3 linked regions of the Arabidopsis thaliana genome follow. The protein of the gene in region 1 interacts with the protein of each later gene in a biochemical or structural test. Each region holds a gene or a part of one and is shown in the gene's direction. Other genes may lie near its edges. The genes, in order: RBOHD, BAK1 and BIK1.

Region 1 (7,325 bases):
AATCAAAAGACTTGTTAAATTGCTCTCTTAGTCTTATCATACCTTCATCTCATATCCATTATAATCATCTTTAGCAATACTATTTTATTTTTAACTACGAAAAATAAACCTTGTTACGCCGTTATTAACAGTGATCATTTTTTTCGTTAAAGAAATTTAACATTCAAAAAAGATAAAGAATGATCACCAATAAGCGTCATGATCTTCCGTATGGTGATGATAAACATCGTTTGCAGTTTTGTTGTATAGTACAACGTATATGTAGCCGTAACGTGTGAATAGTGTATGGTTAGGGTCATTTTATTTGTGAACTACCACAATTTTGATAGCAGTGGAGATAAGTCAAAGGTTCGTCTTCTAATTAATTAACAGCGATTATTAGACTATCTAACTTTTCTTCTTTTCTTATTTTGATAATAACTATATATCTTCTTTAGCCACCTTACTTTCTCATCGGGTTCTATTTAAATAGGGACAAAGAAAACAAACCATCGATTTGTACTATGTGCTCAATTATATCATATGTTTTGTCTCCATCTATGTATCTATTTCTCTTTTCCATTTGGTAAATTATTTAAGACCCTTAAACTGACTTTTCTCGTGGGCGGCGTCGAAGTTTTGGTTAACAGACAAAACATCTGTTCATGATGCCTGCATAACTCTATGTTTTTATACTACTCATTTGCCCTCTATTTCATGCTACTCTTAAAAATAGCTAAATAAAAATACTTCAATATTAGAAAAAAAATCTTCTTGATGTCAAAAATACACTTTAGATATCCCCTCTAGTTCTTGTGATGCTAATATATTACAAAATTGTTTATATATATAGAAATATTACCTCTAGCAATACAAAAATCTTGTTATATCAATTAAATATAACACTATCCGACTAGTGTTTACTAAAATAACACATAATTTTTAATTATGATCTTTGAATTTTAGTTTATGTATTACGCTTTATAATTTTGTTATCAAAAACTATAAAAGCTCAAAAGTGAGCATCTATACCCTAATTCCGTTTTTATGCATACACTTAGGTTTATTTTTATTACGAGAATCTGTGTTTAGTATATATAAAATAGAGTTTATGAATGACTAAGTTAAATACTTCAATACTAATTAAAGTAAGTCGTATTGATGCAGACAATATAAACTTTAGATATCTCCGCTAGTTTGTATAATGCTAATAGATTCAAATTGTCTTTATGTAGAGGAATTACCTCAAATAACATAAAATTTTCATTTTATTAATTAAATCTCATTTTGTCATTTCAAAAGTCATTTTAATTACTGTGTTATTTGTCTAAAGTATACTCCAAACAAGAAACCAAAGTAGAAGGTCAGTGCCCAAGAGACAAATAAACTTAAGCATGTCCACTCTTTTTAGCGATCGGATCGCTTATCTGTTCTTATCCATTATGGAACATGAACGATGTTCCTTTAAGACTACCACATTCAAACGAAAAATAAGTCATCGATGATAGACTGGATAGTTATAGTTTGATGATCTAGCTAATTGACTTTCATATTTACATAAAACAGAAATGTGTTTTTATCAAAAAAGAAAAAAGAAAAAACAGAAAATGAACAATACATCTCACATGGAGTTTGTACAAGAATCCATAATAATTTTTTGTTCGGTACAGTAGGTTAGATATACATTTGAATACAGTTTACAAGCCAAATGTTAGAAGCAACATATTTATATAGTATCATCAATATACGATCCAAAATGAATTATAGATTGACTTATGGAAAAGTTAGATACTATATGCATGATTGCCAAATACATTGAAAAATAACAATTTAAGTTCTTCAAACAAAAGTTTATAAATGACTCGGTGTTTGACATAACTCGGGGTTGTTTTTCTTTGTTAATTCACACACGGGGTTGGTGTATAAATGACTTCGGTGTTTGAAATGTATGACACGGTATAAATAAAAAAGGTAAGGAAGAAATGAAGAATAGAAGAAGAACAAAAAAAAAAGGAAATTAAAAAAAAGTCAAAATAAATGGTCAGTAAAGGATTTTGACCAGACCGGAGCGGTCCATCCATAGTTTCCCACTACCTTCCCTGATTTAGCACAGAAGAATGGCAATTTGCATGCCATTTATTTCATCTATTCCTCCTTCACTCTATAAATATATTTTAAACAAAATCAATTTCTTCCATACACAAAAATCAAACACCTTTTGAGAGCGGTTATTTTTTCTCTATCAACTAATACAGTAACCTTACGGGTGTTTATTTGTATAGATCTCTGTGGTTTTCTTGGCCAAATCTAGTGAGATCTTTTTGGTTTCTCGAATTCGATGAAAATGAGACGAGGCAATTCAAGTAACGACCATGAACTTGGGATTCTACGAGGAGCTAACTCGGACACCAACTCGGACACGGAGAGCATCGCTAGCGACCGTGGTGCCTTTAGCGGTCCGCTTGGCCGGCCTAAACGTGCGTCCAAGAAAAACGCAAGATTCGCCGACGATCTTCCCAAGAGAAGCAATAGTGTTGCTGGCGGCCGTGGTGATGACGATGAGTACGTGGAGATCACGCTAGACATCAGGGACGACTCGGTGGCCGTCCATAGTGTCCAACAAGCAGCTGGAGGTGGAGGCCACCTGGAGGACCCGGAGCTAGCCCTTCTTACGAAGAAGACTCTCGAGAGCAGCCTCAACAACACCACCTCCTTATCTTTCTTCCGAAGCACCTCCTCACGCATCAAGAACGCCTCCCGCGAGCTCCGCCGCGTGTTCTCTAGACGTCCCTCCCCGGCCGTGCGGCGGTTTGACCGCACGAGCTCCGCGGCCATCCACGCACTCAAAGGTCTCAAGTTCATTGCCACCAAGACGGCCGCATGGCCGGCCGTCGACCAACGTTTCGATAAACTCTCCGCTGATTCCAACGGCCTCTTACTCTCTGCCAAGTTTTGGGAATGCTTAGGTAAGTAAATCACTTCTTACTAAGCAATTCTATTAGTACTATATGTTTCCATTTTTGTGTTAGTCTCATTTTTGTTTTGTTTTTTACTCTAGGAATGAATAAGGAATCTAAAGACTTCGCTGACCAGCTCTTTAGAGCATTAGCTCGCCGGAATAACGTCTCCGGCGATGCAATCACAAAGGAACAGCTTAGGATATTCTGGGAACAGATCTCAGACGAAAGCTTTGATGCCAAACTCCAAGTCTTTTTTGACATGTAAGCTTTTTTTTACATATCTTCACCTAACCCACAATAAATATATAACGCGTAATCACTATTTGTCGTTTAATATTGACTCTTAATGAAAATTAAACGGTCATCAGAATTTAAGGACCAAAAGTAGTAATATTAATCATTTGTGGAGTTTTGGTGGATTTGTAACTAATATATGACATCACTGTTTGGTCAGGGTGGACAAAGATGAAGATGGGCGAGTAACAGAAGAAGAGGTGGCTGAGGTGAGAAAACACACACACCACTCAATAATTATCTTTTTCAAATATTTTATTATATTTATACATTTTTTTTATCTTATATTTATTCATATTCCTGGTTGAATTTTTTTTCTCTTATTTTATACGTTATTCTTGGTTGATTATTTTGACAATTTTGTCCACGCGCAAATCCCCACTGACTTTATCTGCTGACGTTTACTATTAACATCATCAATATATTAACTTCATGTGAACACGACAAAATGGTAATAGATAGATAGAGTAGTAGTCTTTGTTACTTTAGCTTAGGTTATTAATGTTTCAAATACTTTAGCTTTTGTTTTCTAATTTGTTGGTAATTTATTGCAGATTATTAGTCTTAGTGCTTCTGCAAACAAGCTCTCAAATATTCAAAAGCAAGCCAAAGAATATGCGGCACTGATAATGGAAGAGTTGGACCCAGACAATGCTGGGTTTATTATGGTACGTGTGGTCCACTTTCACCCACTCAATCACACTAATGGTATTATGTACGTCGTAAATTTAACCACTCTTAAAATACTAGAAAAAACGTGGAAAAACATAACGTTCTAGAAGTCTTTAGTGGTCAAAATTGGGTCACCATGATGTTTTTTAATTTCCAACTTATTGGGCCATCTTGAACTTTTTACCAAACCAATCAACAAAATCTCGACAATGGGTGGTTAGTGGTTACGATATGAAGAAATGACCAATAAAATTGTAAAATATATGAACTAACACTATAATCCAAGCTTAGAAAGTCTTAGGCGGCTTCCGATAGTATATTGTTTTTTAATTATTGGAGAAACCTATGAAAAGTGTTTTTAAGAAAAACAGTTTGGAACATTAATGTTTTATTGTAACGTTTTAGTTAATTATATGATATGGACATTGGTGAAACAGATCGAAAACTTGGAAATGTTGCTATTACAAGCACCAAACCAGTCGGTGCGGATGGGAGACAGCAGGATACTTAGTCAGATGTTAAGTCAGAAGCTTAGACCGGCAAAAGAGAGCAACCCTTTAGTGAGATGGTCGGAGAAAATCAAATATTTCATACTTGACAATTGGCAGAGACTATGGATAATGATGTTATGGCTTGGCATCTGTGGTGGCCTCTTTACTTATAAATTCATTCAGTACAAGAACAAAGCTGCCTATGGTGTCATGGGTTATTGCGTTTGTGTCGCCAAAGGAGGCGCCGAGACTCTCAAATTCAACATGGCTCTCATATTGTTGCCTGTTTGTCGAAACACCATCACTTGGCTTAGGAACAAGACTAAGCTTGGTACTGTCGTTCCTTTTGATGATAGTCTTAACTTCCACAAGGTTATTGCAAGCGGGATAGTCGTCGGTGTTTTACTCCATGCGGGTGCCCATTTAACGTGTGATTTTCCACGTTTAATTGCCGCGGATGAGGACACCTATGAGCCGATGGAAAAATACTTTGGGGATCAACCGACTAGCTACTGGTGGTTTGTGAAAGGAGTGGAAGGATGGACTGGCATTGTGATGGTTGTGCTAATGGCTATAGCCTTTACACTCGCGACGCCTTGGTTCCGACGTAACAAGCTTAACTTACCTAACTTCCTCAAGAAGCTTACCGGTTTCAACGCCTTTTGGTACACCCACCATTTGTTCATCATTGTTTATGCTCTTCTCATTGTCCATGGTATCAAGCTCTACCTCACAAAGATTTGGTATCAGAAAACGGTACTCTCTTCAAACCTCATTTTATCTGTTTTAATTTCTTATTTTCTTTCCTTTTTCCGGTTAATAACATTTATTACCTGTTTGTATGATTCTTGTAGACATGGATGTATCTTGCTGTACCCATCCTTCTATATGCATCGGAGAGGCTGCTCCGTGCTTTCAGATCAAGCATCAAACCGGTTAAGATGATCAAGGTCAGATATATTTCTATTTATCTCTTGAAAACCTTATGTTTCAAGAAATATTTCAACTAATACTTTTAAACCATCTTATTTTATAGTTCTTTTTGATAAAAGTTTGAAAATTGCCTTTGAACTTAATCTATATATATGTAACAACAGGTGGCTGTTTACCCCGGGAACGTGTTGTCTCTACACATGACGAAGCCACAAGGATTCAAATACAAAAGTGGACAGTTCATGTTGGTGAACTGCCGAGCCGTATCTCCATTCGAATGGCATCCTTTCTCAATCACATCAGCTCCCGGAGACGATTACCTGAGCGTACATATCCGCACTCTCGGTGACTGGACACGTAAGCTCAGGACCGTTTTCTCCGAGGTTTGCAAACCTCCTACCGCCGGTAAAAGCGGTCTTCTCCGAGCAGACGGAGGAGATGGAAACCTCCCGTTCCCGAAGGTCCTTATCGACGGTCCATACGGTGCTCCCGCACAAGACTACAAGAAATACGACGTGGTACTCCTCGTAGGTCTCGGCATTGGAGCCACGCCTATGATCAGTATCCTTAAGGACATCATCAACAACATGAAAGGTCCTGACCGCGACAGCGACATTGAGAACAATAACAGTAACAACAATAGTAAAGGGTTTAAGACAAGGAAAGCTTATTTCTACTGGGTGACTAGGGAACAAGGATCATTCGAGTGGTTCAAGGGAATAATGGACGAGATTTCGGAGTTAGACGAGGAAGGAATCATCGAGCTTCACAATTATTGCACGAGTGTGTACGAGGAAGGTGATGCAAGAGTGGCTCTCATTGCCATGCTTCAGTCGTTGCAACACGCTAAGAACGGTGTGGATGTTGTGTCGGGTACACGTGTCAAGTCCCACTTCGCTAAACCTAACTGGAGACAAGTCTACAAGAAGATCGCTGTTCAACATCCCGGCAAAAGAATAGGTAACTAATCTCGACCGTTAATCTCGTTATGTACGTGATGTTGTATAATAATTAATAAAGTGATGAATTTAGACTAAATACTAATATGAATTTTGATTGCAGGAGTCTTCTACTGTGGAATGCCAGGAATGATAAAGGAATTAAAAAATCTAGCTTTGGATTTTTCTCGAAAGACAACTACCAAGTTTGACTTCCACAAAGAGAACTTCTAGATTAATTATATACGTTGTAGAAAAATAAAACAAGAAACAACTATACAAATAAATATTTATTTTAAATTCTTTTCATTTTTATGTAAAATTATCTGAGTTATCTTTTTTTGTTCTTCTATATCCCTACCGTTTTGTTGGTTACTTTTTCACTACTTAGTTTAATGCCAAATTAAGTATAAGATAGTAGAAGTTTATATAGTTACAGCTTTGGTGTTGTAAACATGTAATCATGGAGTTATCTGTACTATTATTTTGTACTTATATTCGAATATTAACAACTAAAGATAGTTTTGATATTCAATACCCATTACTCATTTAACATAATGAATAGAGATATCAACATTAGATACGTCTTGATTATTTGCTCACCAATGCATTTGCGTGTTTAACTTGTTTATATGTTATTAATAGTGTTCTTTTAGTTAAAATGACAAATAATTTCTTAACTCAAAAGCATCTTATATCACAACTCTAGCTAGATTAGTTTAGCTTTTCATAAGTCTTCTTGCGTTTACGTCTTTATTTATGGGTTGATACCCTATTCACTACTTTAATTTGCCTTGCACTTGGGATAGTTTAAAAGACTTTAAAATTATGCAGCTAGAATATAATCAAAACTTGATATAAGTATCAAAATAATTAAATACAATTGCTATCGATAATAATCAGAAACAATCGTTATGAATGGTTAAGTTTGTTTCCTTAAAATGGTTACGAATGATTAATTTTGTTCCTTAGGTAAACTAAAAGTTCAAAAACAAATCCAACCTACTACAATCTAAGAAAACTGACAAAGTTTATGGTTGATTACAGAATAGGTCGCT
Region 2 (7,064 bases), on another chromosome or scaffold:
CGAGACATCACAAGAACATTCATTGAACAAGTCAATCCGAAATTAACAAGTGTTAATACAAAATTCATGCAAAACACTGACTTTTGATATGCAAATCCAGATTTCGCACTACTAGAGACTATCCCCACTCAAAAATAACAGCTTTTTTGCTGTATCAAACAATGGTGGGTCCATTTTAACCACTGACCGTGATTAGCGAAATGAATATAGTGTTTACCAACAAAACTTTATGAACCCACAAATCAAAAAGCAATCACAAACCCAAATTTTGGATTCTCACAGAGCAATCAACAACTAATTGAATTCTCTTAATACTACTACTGTTCAGAACCAATCAACAACAAACAAAGCAAAAAAAAAGTAAACTTTATCAATGTGTTAAAGAATTCAAAACTTTGATATAACCTTGGATCCCAAAATGAGAGCGCCGCGTTCGAGAAAGAGCGTGAAATTGCTGGTGAGGTTGAAGCTTCCAGAAAGCCACGTGCCCTCCGGGACATTGAGCTGGGCCCCACCCTCCGCCGCAAAACCTTCAAGGTGCCTTACGGCGCGGCGGAAAGCGGCCGTGTTCGACGTCTTTCCGTCTCCAACACCGCCGAAATCGGTAATCGACATAACGATCCGGTTAGGGAACGGGTCGTGATTGAAAAACCCGGAGCAGGTAACAGGGTCGTCATATTGAGAAGTCGGGATCCAGAGAGGGAGAAAAGAATTGGAAGAGATTTGGAGAGAGAGAATCGCTAAGACGGTGAAAACAAGGAGAAGAAACGCCCACGAAGGTCTTGTAATGGCACTCAATACTGTGGTCGGATTCTTCTCCGGTTCCATTGTTTTTTGGAAACAGAGAGAAAACTCAAAAGCCCATGAAGCAAGCTCTGAGATAAAATTACAAACAGAAGAATGCTAAAGTGGGACTTTTAGATGGTTGGAGAGAATTATGCATGTGTGTGGCAATGATTAGCGTAGTGTGGTGGTGACAACAAACAAAGGTGGAGGAAGATAGAAAGTCGATAGATACCTTACCTCGAAAATTCGTCTCTCTCTTTGATTATTTTTGTATATATAAATAGAAAAAAGTAGTAGTAAATAAGAAAATTGGATACAGACACAGATATGTCGTGAAAAGGGCACTAAAATATTGGATGGTGCATGTGAATCGTCAAAAAGTGGCAAGGAGAAAGTGAAAGTCTTCACGAATTATATTTTGGTTTATATATAAAAGAAGAAGAAAGAAGAAGAAAGAAGAAGAAAGAAGATGGATGATACACAATCGGTCACGGACTCACGGGTAGGAAGGATTGTGAGGCGTTACAATCTCGTCAGACTTCCAAGTCTTAATCTGATGGGCCTTTAAATAGCCTACTGTACTGAGTTGTTTGTTGTGTTTTTGTTTTGTTTTTTAATGCCAAACTAAGGTATATGTCCGTATTTTATTGCTGGCAACATATACTCTGTCCGTTTGTGTTTTTTGTTTTTTATTTCATTTTTCCTCAAAATTACTTTTGTTCTTTTAAAAATATTAAATGGCATAAATAGTTAAACTATCAACCAGTAAATTATATATGATACAATAATGTTTTTTGTTTTGTTTAATTCATTGGACCAGATGGATTATTCAGCTTACATTTTTCAATATTGAATTGTAATTTTTTAGAGCTATAATCTTTAAAAAAGAATAAAAAAATCAAAAAAGCTTTTGCTCATCTTTGGAATAAACGAACTTGCTATTAAGACCAAGCCCAATAAACAATAAAAGCCCGAAAAAATAGAGCTGGGCCGGTAATTAGGATTATGATGATGGTATATAACTCACTATCAACTATCATGAGTTCATGACCATCATGGTTTATATCTAATGTCATATGATGGATGATGATAAGGTGGGCGAACATAACAAACATGATTCGGAATGAAGTCGTGCGTCTTTGACTTTGACTAGCTCTAAAAAAGCTTTGAAAATGCTCGTCCACGTCATCATCCTCTTTGTCGTTTTCTCAATCTTAAATGTCATTTTTTTAATATAGTTTTCACAGTACAACAACTCAACCCAGTAAAATCCCTTCTTTAAGCAAAGAAAATAATTAAAATTCGTCTTCCTTCCTTGCTCTCGGCGATAACTTGGTTTCTCTCCTCTCTCTCATCTCTCTTTGTTTCGACCCTTTTTTAGTATATTTCCAGGAAATATCTTCTTCCTCCTTTCGTTTTCTCTATCTCAGTTTTCTCTCTTCTCAGCATTAAGTAGTCAACGGTCAGCGATCTCGGCGTTCCTTCTAATCGGAAAAGTCTAGCTTCAGTTTCTTTTTTTTTTGCTTTTTTGGTTTCCGCGATTAATCGATTTGGGTATTTTGATTTTCTCTTCAAATTAAGTCAACGGGTGGATACGCGTTGAGAGGGCTTTTCTCGTATTCTGCTTCTAATTTCATCATCTTGGTATTACCTTGTGTGGGTGGTAGCTTAATCGAAGGATTCGAGATCCCTTTTATCAGGGGTTTTAACAATGATGGATTTTCTCTGATGAGGGATAGTTCTAGGGTTTGTTTTTAATCTCTTGAGGATAAAATGGAACGAAGATTAATGATCCCTTGCTTCTTTTGGTTGATTCTCGTTTTGGATTTGGTTCTCAGAGTCTCGGGCAACGCCGAAGGTTTCCCCTTTCTCTCTCATTCTCTTTCAATTTTTCATTCTTTCCAATTAAATTAGTTTCCCTTGTTGAGTATTTTGATTAGTATAGGCTTATGAGAGCTTGTTCTCACCTAAAGAAGGCATTTTTAACTTATCTGTTACTTGTTTTGCTGTATTGACTTGAGTTATATTTGGGTTACATCTGTTTCGACTGATTCCAGTGATTATGTATCCTCGTGACACTTGATGATTGCAAAGTTTGATTTTTTCTTCTTCTTTGGTTAATTGTAGGTGATGCTCTAAGTGCACTGAAAAACAGTTTAGCCGACCCTAATAAGGTGCTTCAAAGTTGGGATGCTACTCTTGTTACTCCATGTACATGGTTTCATGTTACTTGCAATAGCGACAATAGTGTTACACGTGTGTAAGTTTCTTTCTATATCTAGCCAAGATGATTCGGATTTTCGCATCTACTGAGAATTTACTTGAACTTCATTTTTGCTCAGTGACCTTGGGAATGCAAATCTATCTGGACAGCTCGTAATGCAACTTGGTCAGCTTCCAAACTTGCAGTACTTGTAAGTCATCTTTTCTTTAAAAGGCCGTCTTTTAACTTTTGGTGTATGTGGGATGTTAAAAATGTTACAATGTTCCAAATAACTGCATAATTTTGCATTATCATAGATTATTAGTTATATATCTTTCCGATCTTATGGTGAAATTAATATTAAAGAATGGTAATGACAGGGAGCTTTATAGCAATAACATTACTGGGACAATCCCAGAACAGCTTGGAAATCTGACGGAATTGGTGAGCTTGGATCTTTACTTGAACAATTTAAGCGGGCCTATTCCATCAACTCTCGGCCGACTTAAGAAACTCCGTTTCTTGTATGCACCATATTCTACTCTCTTCTTTTAATACGTTTTTAATAAGCAGCCTAATTATTGTCTTTAGTTTCCTTGATCGTGTTTGTCTTCCTGTAAAAGCTATTCGTGCAACGTGTTACATTTGTAGGAGTCAGAAAGTAGTGTCGCCAAATAGATGCTACGTTATTTTACTAGATGAAAAGGTGTTCTCTTGGAGACTAGGATGTTGTATAATATGGTCTATTTTAATTATGAGCTTTCGTAAAAGGAATCAGAACTCTATCCTTGTGTTCGCTTAATTTTACTGGAACAACACAAAGTTCCGAATTCAGGTGACTGTCTTTTTGGTTGTTCTCGTGTGTCACCTTTGTGATCTTCAATGGTAGTTATTGACTCGCTTATTTTGTATGAAATCGATTTGGTTCTGGAAGAATGAAATTCTATCAAAGATAACAATATTCTTCTGCCTTAGAATTTAAGCGCTAAACCCTATTGTTACTTATTAATTTGTGAGTGCTCTGTAAATCTAGAGGGTGAACGCATCTAAAGTAGTAAGTCGCGCTAATTAGGAAAATATACTTGATTTTTCAATCAGCTTCATATCTGTTGGATGAGATTTTAGAACAACCCCTACTTTTGAAAGTCTTTTAAAGTTTGTATTTTTGCTCTCACTATAAACTCATTACTGGTTAATGTATTTCCACTTATTCATGACATTCTCTTTTTGTATTGGTGGTTAGGCGTCTTAATAACAATAGCTTATCTGGAGAAATTCCAAGGTCTTTGACTGCTGTCCTGACGCTACAAGTTCTGTGAGTGTAACTTTATCTCTCTCAAATTCCTCTGTGTTCATGTTTCTGATTATTGTTTGGCCGATCTTGGCATTAAGTCAGAAAATGATATCATCTTATAATGCAGGGATCTCTCAAACAATCCTCTCACCGGAGATATTCCTGTTAATGGTTCCTTTTCACTTTTCACTCCAATCAGGTTTTGCATCCTGCTCCTAGTTTAAATCTTGGTGGAGAGGTCAGAATGTTTGATTAATTATTTGAAATTTTGCAGTTTTGCCAACACCAAGTTGACTCCCCTTCCTGCATCTCCACCGCCTCCTATCTCTCCTACACCGCCATCACCTGCAGGTTTTTTTTTGTATATGTCTTTGTCTTTGAAATGTTATTCAACTGAATAAGTAAACATTTTAAGCAGATCCATTAAGTATTAAGAAAGAGATTGTTCATTTCATTCTTGCAGGGAGTAATAGAATTACTGGAGCGATTGCGGGAGGAGTTGCTGCAGGTGCTGCACTTCTATTTGCTGTTCCGGCCATTGCACTAGCTTGGTGGCGAAGGAAAAAGCCGCAGGACCACTTCTTTGATGTACCAGGTTAGCTAAACTTGCTTTACCTGTTTCCTCATTAACACTTCTCTTGCTGATTTTTTTTTATTACCGTCTTTTTGCAGCTGAAGAGGACCCAGAAGTTCATTTAGGACAACTGAAGAGGTTTTCATTGCGTGAACTACAAGTTGCTTCGGATAATTTTAGCAACAAGAACATATTGGGTAGAGGTGGTTTTGGTAAAGTTTATAAAGGACGGTTAGCTGATGGTACTTTAGTGGCCGTTAAAAGGCTAAAAGAGGAGCGCACCCAAGGTGGCGAACTGCAGTTCCAGACAGAGGTTGAGATGATTAGTATGGCGGTTCACAGAAACTTGCTTCGGCTTCGTGGATTTTGCATGACTCCAACCGAAAGATTGCTTGTTTATCCCTACATGGCTAATGGAAGTGTTGCCTCCTGTTTAAGAGGTATCTCTCATCTTGTGCCTTTTTCTTTGACTGCAATATTTCCGTCCAATGGTTGCCTTTTTATCCGTAGTAATCTTATATTTTATTTTCTCCTTAGAACGTCCCGAGTCCCAGCCACCACTTGATTGGCCAAAGAGACAGCGTATTGCGTTGGGATCTGCAAGAGGGCTTGCGTATTTACATGATCATTGCGACCCAAAGATTATTCATCGAGATGTGAAAGCTGCAAATATTTTGTTGGATGAAGAGTTTGAAGCCGTGGTTGGGGATTTTGGACTTGCAAAACTCATGGACTACAAAGACACACATGTGACAACCGCAGTGCGTGGGACAATTGGTCATATAGCCCCTGAGTACCTTTCCACTGGAAAATCATCAGAGAAAACCGATGTCTTTGGGTATGGAGTCATGCTTCTTGAGCTTATCACTGGACAAAGGGCTTTTGATCTTGCTCGCCTCGCGAATGATGATGATGTCATGTTACTAGACTGGGTATATACATATATGAGTTTCCCACTTGTATAGTTCATTATCTGTGTTACCTCTATTTGTGTTAATTATTCATTTCGACAGGTGAAAGGGTTGTTAAAAGAGAAGAAATTGGAAGCACTAGTAGATGTTGATCTTCAGGGTAATTACAAAGACGAAGAAGTGGAGCAGCTAATCCAAGTGGCTTTACTCTGCACTCAGAGTTCACCAATGGAAAGACCCAAAATGTCTGAAGTTGTAAGAATGCTTGAAGGAGATGGTTTAGCTGAGAGATGGGAAGAGTGGCAAAAGGAGGAAATGTTCAGACAAGATTTCAACTACCCAACCCACCATCCAGCCGTGTCTGGCTGGATCATTGGCGATTCCACTTCCCAGATCGAAAACGAATACCCCTCGGGTCCAAGATAAGATTCGAAACACGAATGTTTTTTCTGTATTTTGTTTTTCTCTGTATTTATTGAGGGTTTTAGCTTCTGCTGCTCCATATTATTGGTTCTTAAGTGAATACATGAGGATCAGATTGGGTTTGTAAGTGTTATATGATGAAAAAGGATTTGAATGTTGTTGAAAGCTAAAACCCAAACATGTCTTAAGCTCACCACTTGAGGATTGTTGCGCACTTGATTCACAAATATGTATCCCATCAATTATTCTTTTTCACCGTGCGTCAGGTTTCTTTTCTTACCGGTTTCTGTGTTATCATGTGATTTCTAGATCCGGAGATTGTTCAGAAGAAAAGGAGACTTTTGCCTTTAAATAGCAATTGGACAAGAAAATGCAACCAAAGTATATTACTTTTTGATGGATATCTGAACCACACAAGCAATAAGTATACAACTGCATATTACGAGAGTACACAATTTTTACATAGTAGCCTAGAAGATTCATGATTCTTCATATAACAAGAGTAGAGAACTTATTATAAATACAAAAATCGTAAGTAGATGTGGTCTAGCCTAATTAATACTCCGACAATTTTGACGGACTTCACCTTGAGAGCCAAGTTTAACATCAAGATTGCTCATCTTGCGCATGGCCTGTTGGAAATCAAAGAAGAACTTGGCTTGGTTAAGTGCATAGCCGTTAACAAGATTCCTGGTCCTTGGTGTGTTGAATAAAGTTTGGTCTGAAAAGAGGACTCCTGATTTCATCTGAAGCGCATTGAAGTAAGCATTGTCGAAATCGTTGCGCGTAGCATCAAAGGGTTGCTCTGCATTGTCACCCGCGCTGCATGTTTTAGAGAGAGTGTTTGCAAAAGTCGAGTCTAATGAAGAGTCT
Region 3 (4,673 bases), on another chromosome or scaffold:
TTGTAGATTGAAAGTTACGTATTGATTCGAAAATCAACACATTGTGTTTTCAAGTGGGCATAAACTATAACACCTTGTTGATTGATTAATAGATTACCTAAAGACATTATGGTTTATTACTGGTCTTTCAATATATTTTTATCGCATTGTCAATGATATTGTTTTTGTATCCCAAGTCCACTGTTTTGGTCTCTACATTCATTTTGATTGGGATTTATCTTTTTAAAATTTCTTCTAATGTTTTTTCGATATGGTTATTACTTGCTTTGATTTTCTTTTCAGTATGTGTATTGCTTTGCAAATTGTTTTTTTCTTAAGATGAAAAACAACTCATTAAATTGTTTGAGAAATACTACTAAAACAAATAAACAATGAGGAGAATTATGGAAAACAAAGTGTAATAGGCTTTAATTCATTGCTAGTGGGCTTTTTGGGCCTATGGGCATATTACTTACCACTATCCAACCCAAAATGCCAAATAACCGACATGTCTCACACAATCCAATTTTGGGCCATACGGCCGAAATTATTTAAACCTGTGCTCATAATTTACTTTACAAATTATTACTTTTCCATAAATTGTGGAAAAGTTATCTGTAACATCCGATTCAACTGGAGTCTAGACTACTATAGACATTGATACGTTTTGAGTTTTTAGATACTTGGAAGATATATGCATTTATGAATACAGATTACAGACACATACTAGTACTACTGTATGTCTGTATATGGATACAAAAAAAATCATGTATGAATACTAAAATTTTATTAGAAATCTATTTTTCAATTGTTGCAACAATCAAGTTGTCAAATTTATTTTTGTAACCGTTAAACAAACAAATATCGATTTAGGTTTCTAATCTGAATTGACATCTCAAACAAAAAAGGCTGAATACTTTCTGAAAATAGTGTATGGAATGAAGGTGGCTTTTAGAGCCATTATAACCGGAAGAAAATTCAGGTGACTTTTAGAACCATTATAACCGGAAGAAAAGGTGAATTTTAATTTTTAGCTGTGTGGAAGACACGGCAAGTCCAAGTAGTACCTTCGTACGTCAATATTGTCCAACCGGCCGTGTCGAAAATCTTCTTGAGAAAAATTGGATTTTCATCTATAAAAAAAAAAAGTCCAAGTAATACCAAACAAAGACAGCGACGTGTAAAACAATACAAGACTCATAATCACAAACCTACCACCCAAGTCAAACCTATATTCCATTTAGTGAATTCTTGATTATGACTTCTTGAAATCATTTGTATTCATATGTATAATTATTTAAGTCATTTTTCTGTAAGTAAAATTTTTATATATCTAGAATAACGAGTTCCCTACGACAAGATACAGTTGAACGTAAATGTGACATCTCAATTTTCATTGGTGTCTAGTACTCTAGTGATTAGGTTTTCGACATTTATTGTACTGATTAAGTAAAAATTCATGGTACAAACATCGAATATATATTTTTCTGCTTACACACACCAATTAACGTGGATAGACCAATTGAAATATTTTGTTACGACAAAGCAAAACAAAACAAACGTCATGTTTCGCTGTTTGTTTGTCGTCCCGTTAATGGTAATCTTTCAGACACATACAGTACCCAAACAAGTAATTTGACTAAAATTTTCTCTCTGTCTAAATTTCAGAAGAAAAAAAAACTTTAGGATATATTGCCAAAAGATCTTAAAAATGGGTCATATCATTTTGATCATATAGAATCCAACGACCTTTATCTTTTCGCCGAACTATACTTTTTTGTGTCCATTTGTTTGACTTTCTTTCACACACACATCCACAAAGAAAAAAGGACCATTCTTCTCCTTCTTCTAGTCACCCCTCGTGCCTCTCTTTAACACCAAACCCAAAACTCCCTTCTCTTTCTTCCTTCCTCTCCGATCTCCGTTCACATCTCTCTCTCATCTTTATCTTCTTCTTTTTTTGCCTTGTGGGTTGAAAGTTTCTATATTTTCTCTTTCTCTTCTGTTTACATAATCCATTTTCAGCTCAAGCAGCTGAAGAATAACGATCAAGAACCAAAAAAGAAGAAAACGAATCTGTTCTTAGCTTTGATGGGTTCTTGCTTCAGTTCTCGAGTCAAAGCAGACATCTTCCACAATGGTACCATCTCTCTCCAACTATCAATTTTCTTGCAATCTGGAATTATGCATCTCTCTGTTTTTAATTCATGGAGATTTCCGATTTTGATTATTGTAAATGGTCAACATGTGTGTCTGTGTAGGTAAGAGCAGCGATCTTTATGGTCTAAGTCTCTCAAGTCGGAAATCGTCTTCGACTGTAGCGGCGGCTCAGAAGACGGAAGGGGAGATATTGAGTTCGACCCCTGTCAAAAGCTTCACCTTTAACGAACTCAAACTCGCCACAAGAAACTTCAGACCAGATAGTGTGATCGGAGAAGGTGGCTTTGGTTGTGTCTTTAAAGGCTGGTTAGATGAGTCCACTCTCACTCCGACTAAACCTGGAACCGGTTTGGTCATCGCCGTTAAAAAGCTTAACCAAGAAGGTTTTCAAGGTCACCGTGAATGGCTGGTACTGTGTTTTCATTTCCCCAAACTTAAGAGTCATGTGTTATATATGTGTGAATGCGTGTCTGATCTGTTGTGTTGTGTTGTGCTATTCAGACAGAGATCAATTACTTGGGGCAACTGAGTCACCCAAATCTAGTTAAACTGATCGGTTATTGCTTAGAAGATGAACACCGTCTTCTAGTCTACGAGTTTATGCAAAAAGGAAGTCTTGAGAATCATCTATTCAGAAGTGAGTCCCATGGATCATCTTTATCTTTGATTAAATCTGTTTTCTTTTGTTTTTGGTTCTGATGGAAAATGGTTTTAATATAGGAGGTGCATATTTTAAGCCACTCCCATGGTTTCTACGGGTCAATGTTGCGCTTGATGCAGCAAAGGGGCTTGCTTTTCTTCACAGCGATCCCGTCAAAGTGATATACCGAGACATTAAAGCCTCGAACATCTTACTTGATGCGGTATGTAGAGAAATATACACATTCAAAGAATTAGATGTCTTCATAGTACTTTCCTGATGACTTTGATTCCCTTAAACAGGACTACAACGCAAAACTTTCTGACTTTGGACTAGCTAGAGACGGTCCAATGGGTGATTTGAGTTATGTTAGTACAAGGGTCATGGGTACTTATGGGTACGCCGCGCCTGAGTACATGTCATCAGGTAAAAATCTATCACCTTAAATATGAATTATGACTAGGTTGATCAAATGTTTTAGAGCATAAGGATAATTGTTTTTAAATCCTCGTATCATTTCAGGTCACTTGAATGCAAGAAGCGATGTGTACAGTTTCGGAGTTTTGCTTCTAGAGATTTTATCTGGTAAGCGAGCGTTGGATCATAACAGACCGGCTAAAGAAGAAAACCTTGTGGATTGGGCTCGACCGTACCTCACAAGCAAACGTAAGGTTCTCCTAATCGTGGACAATCGGCTAGACACACAGTACCTACCTGAAGAAGCCGTGAGAATGGCAAGCGTGGCGGTGCAGTGTCTCTCATTTGAACCCAAGTCGCGCCCGACCATGGACCAAGTGGTCCGTGCCTTACAACAACTTCAGGACAACTTGGGAAAACCGAGTCAGACCAATCCGGTTAAGGATACCAAGAAACTTGGTTTTAAAACTGGTACTACTAAGTCATCCGAAAAACGGTTTACACAAAAACCTTTTGGCAGGCACCTTGTGTAGGTCAAGTTGATAACTGAATTCCAGGATGGACATTTTTCCGGCGGTTTACTTGAAACTGCCGATATCCGTTTTCGACGGATTGAATGCGGTTCTGGACAAACCGTGCAGGTCAAGACTAATAAAGGATACATTAAATTTTCCGGTTACATGTCCCATACCCAACCTTAGAGAACATGTGTAGCCTTTAGCTTAGGCTTCCTTGTGTGCTGTTATATTGAGTATATATGAGGTAATTTTTGCCTCTTGTGTTGTAACACTTGTATTTTTGTTCCTTTAACATTTGATGTAGAGATTTTTCCTATATCTTCAGTTTTGAAACCCAAATTTATTGCAAGTCAAAATATGAAAATTCTAATCAATGTGCAATGAATAACACAAATCCGAATTGTGCTTTGTTGGCTGCAGACCTGCAGTTAACACAAATCTTATAAATTTGAAATGTCGTTCAAACTCCAAACCACAAAAAGGGGAAGCAAAACGCAACCGTTTCACGATTTTTGTCTAGTTTGGTCCAATTTCTCAATTACGGTTTTGTGAAATGCGTGTCGGTCTTTGGTTCTGCATTCGAACTGTGTGGCGTTTTGTGTAACTTATCCACTTAGTGAGCAAAACTACTCGACTCGTAGTAGTTGCAGAGAGGTTTTAGCCGCAGAAGAAAAGGGTTTACTCTGTCTTCTTCAGACTTCTCAGTGATCGAAGCTATGATGACGACAACAACCAATACTATGGCTATGCTTCAAAACCTCGTCTTCTCTGTTCCAATCTCTCGTATGGTAGTTCGGCGTCACTCCCTCGCTACCACCTTCTCCGCTGCCGCCACAACCGTCGTACCGTCTCCTAAACCGGTATCAGCCAAACCGGCGCGTACTCCACACGTGGACTCACATGTTCTCATCGGAATGTCAGAGCCTGAGCTTCAAGAGCTTGCTATCAACCTCGGTCAA

Evidence for each region.
Region 2: the proteins of RBOHD (region 1) and BAK1 form a complex in vitro, tested with the Arabidopsis thaliana proteins (one study listed by BioGRID).
Region 3: the proteins of RBOHD (region 1) and BIK1 form a complex in vitro, tested with the Arabidopsis thaliana proteins (one study listed by BioGRID).

Annotation. Positions count from the first base shown.
Region 1 is NC_003076.8:19,395,268-19,402,592, forward strand, and holds RBOHD (respiratory burst oxidase homologue D), read left to right. Parts: upstream 1-1,773; 5' UTR 1,774-2,317; coding exon 2,318-2,945; intron 2,946-3,037; coding exon 3,038-3,200; intron 3,201-3,393; coding exon 3,394-3,442; intron 3,443-3,787; coding exon 3,788-3,901; intron 3,902-4,342; coding exon 4,343-5,152; intron 5,153-5,250; coding exon 5,251-5,346; intron 5,347-5,493; coding exon 5,494-6,289; intron 6,290-6,391; coding exon 6,392-6,501; 3' UTR 6,502-6,794; downstream 6,795-7,325. UniProt on the Arabidopsis thaliana protein: Calcium-dependent NADPH oxidase that generates superoxide.
Region 2 is NC_003075.7:16,085,784-16,092,847, reverse strand, and holds BAK1 (BRI1-associated receptor kinase), read left to right. Parts: upstream 1-2,070; 5' UTR 2,071-2,559; coding exon 2,560-2,644; intron 2,645-2,913; coding exon 2,914-3,046; intron 3,047-3,128; coding exon 3,129-3,200; intron 3,201-3,369; coding exon 3,370-3,513; intron 3,514-3,640; coding exon 3,641-3,781; intron 3,782-4,232; coding exon 4,233-4,304; intron 4,305-4,410; coding exon 4,411-4,482; intron 4,483-4,557; coding exon 4,558-4,634; intron 4,635-4,746; coding exon 4,747-4,878; intron 4,879-4,955; coding exon 4,956-5,297; intron 5,298-5,394; coding exon 5,395-5,789; intron 5,790-5,870; coding exon 5,871-6,194; 3' UTR 6,195-6,537; downstream 6,538-7,064. Other genes in the region: AT4G33440 (Pectin lyase-like superfamily protein), read right to left, coding at 406-828; AT4G33420 (Peroxidase superfamily protein), read right to left, coding at 6,743-7,064.
Region 3 is NC_003071.7:16,529,873-16,534,545, forward strand, and holds BIK1 (botrytis-induced kinase1), read left to right. Parts: upstream 1-1,654; 5' UTR 1,655-2,070; coding exon 2,071-2,119; intron 2,120-2,240; coding exon 2,241-2,548; intron 2,549-2,640; coding exon 2,641-2,776; intron 2,777-2,859; coding exon 2,860-3,002; intron 3,003-3,081; coding exon 3,082-3,205; intron 3,206-3,301; coding exon 3,302-3,729; 3' UTR 3,730-4,114; downstream 4,115-4,673. Other genes in the region: AT2G39670 (Radical SAM superfamily protein), read left to right, coding at 4,431-4,668.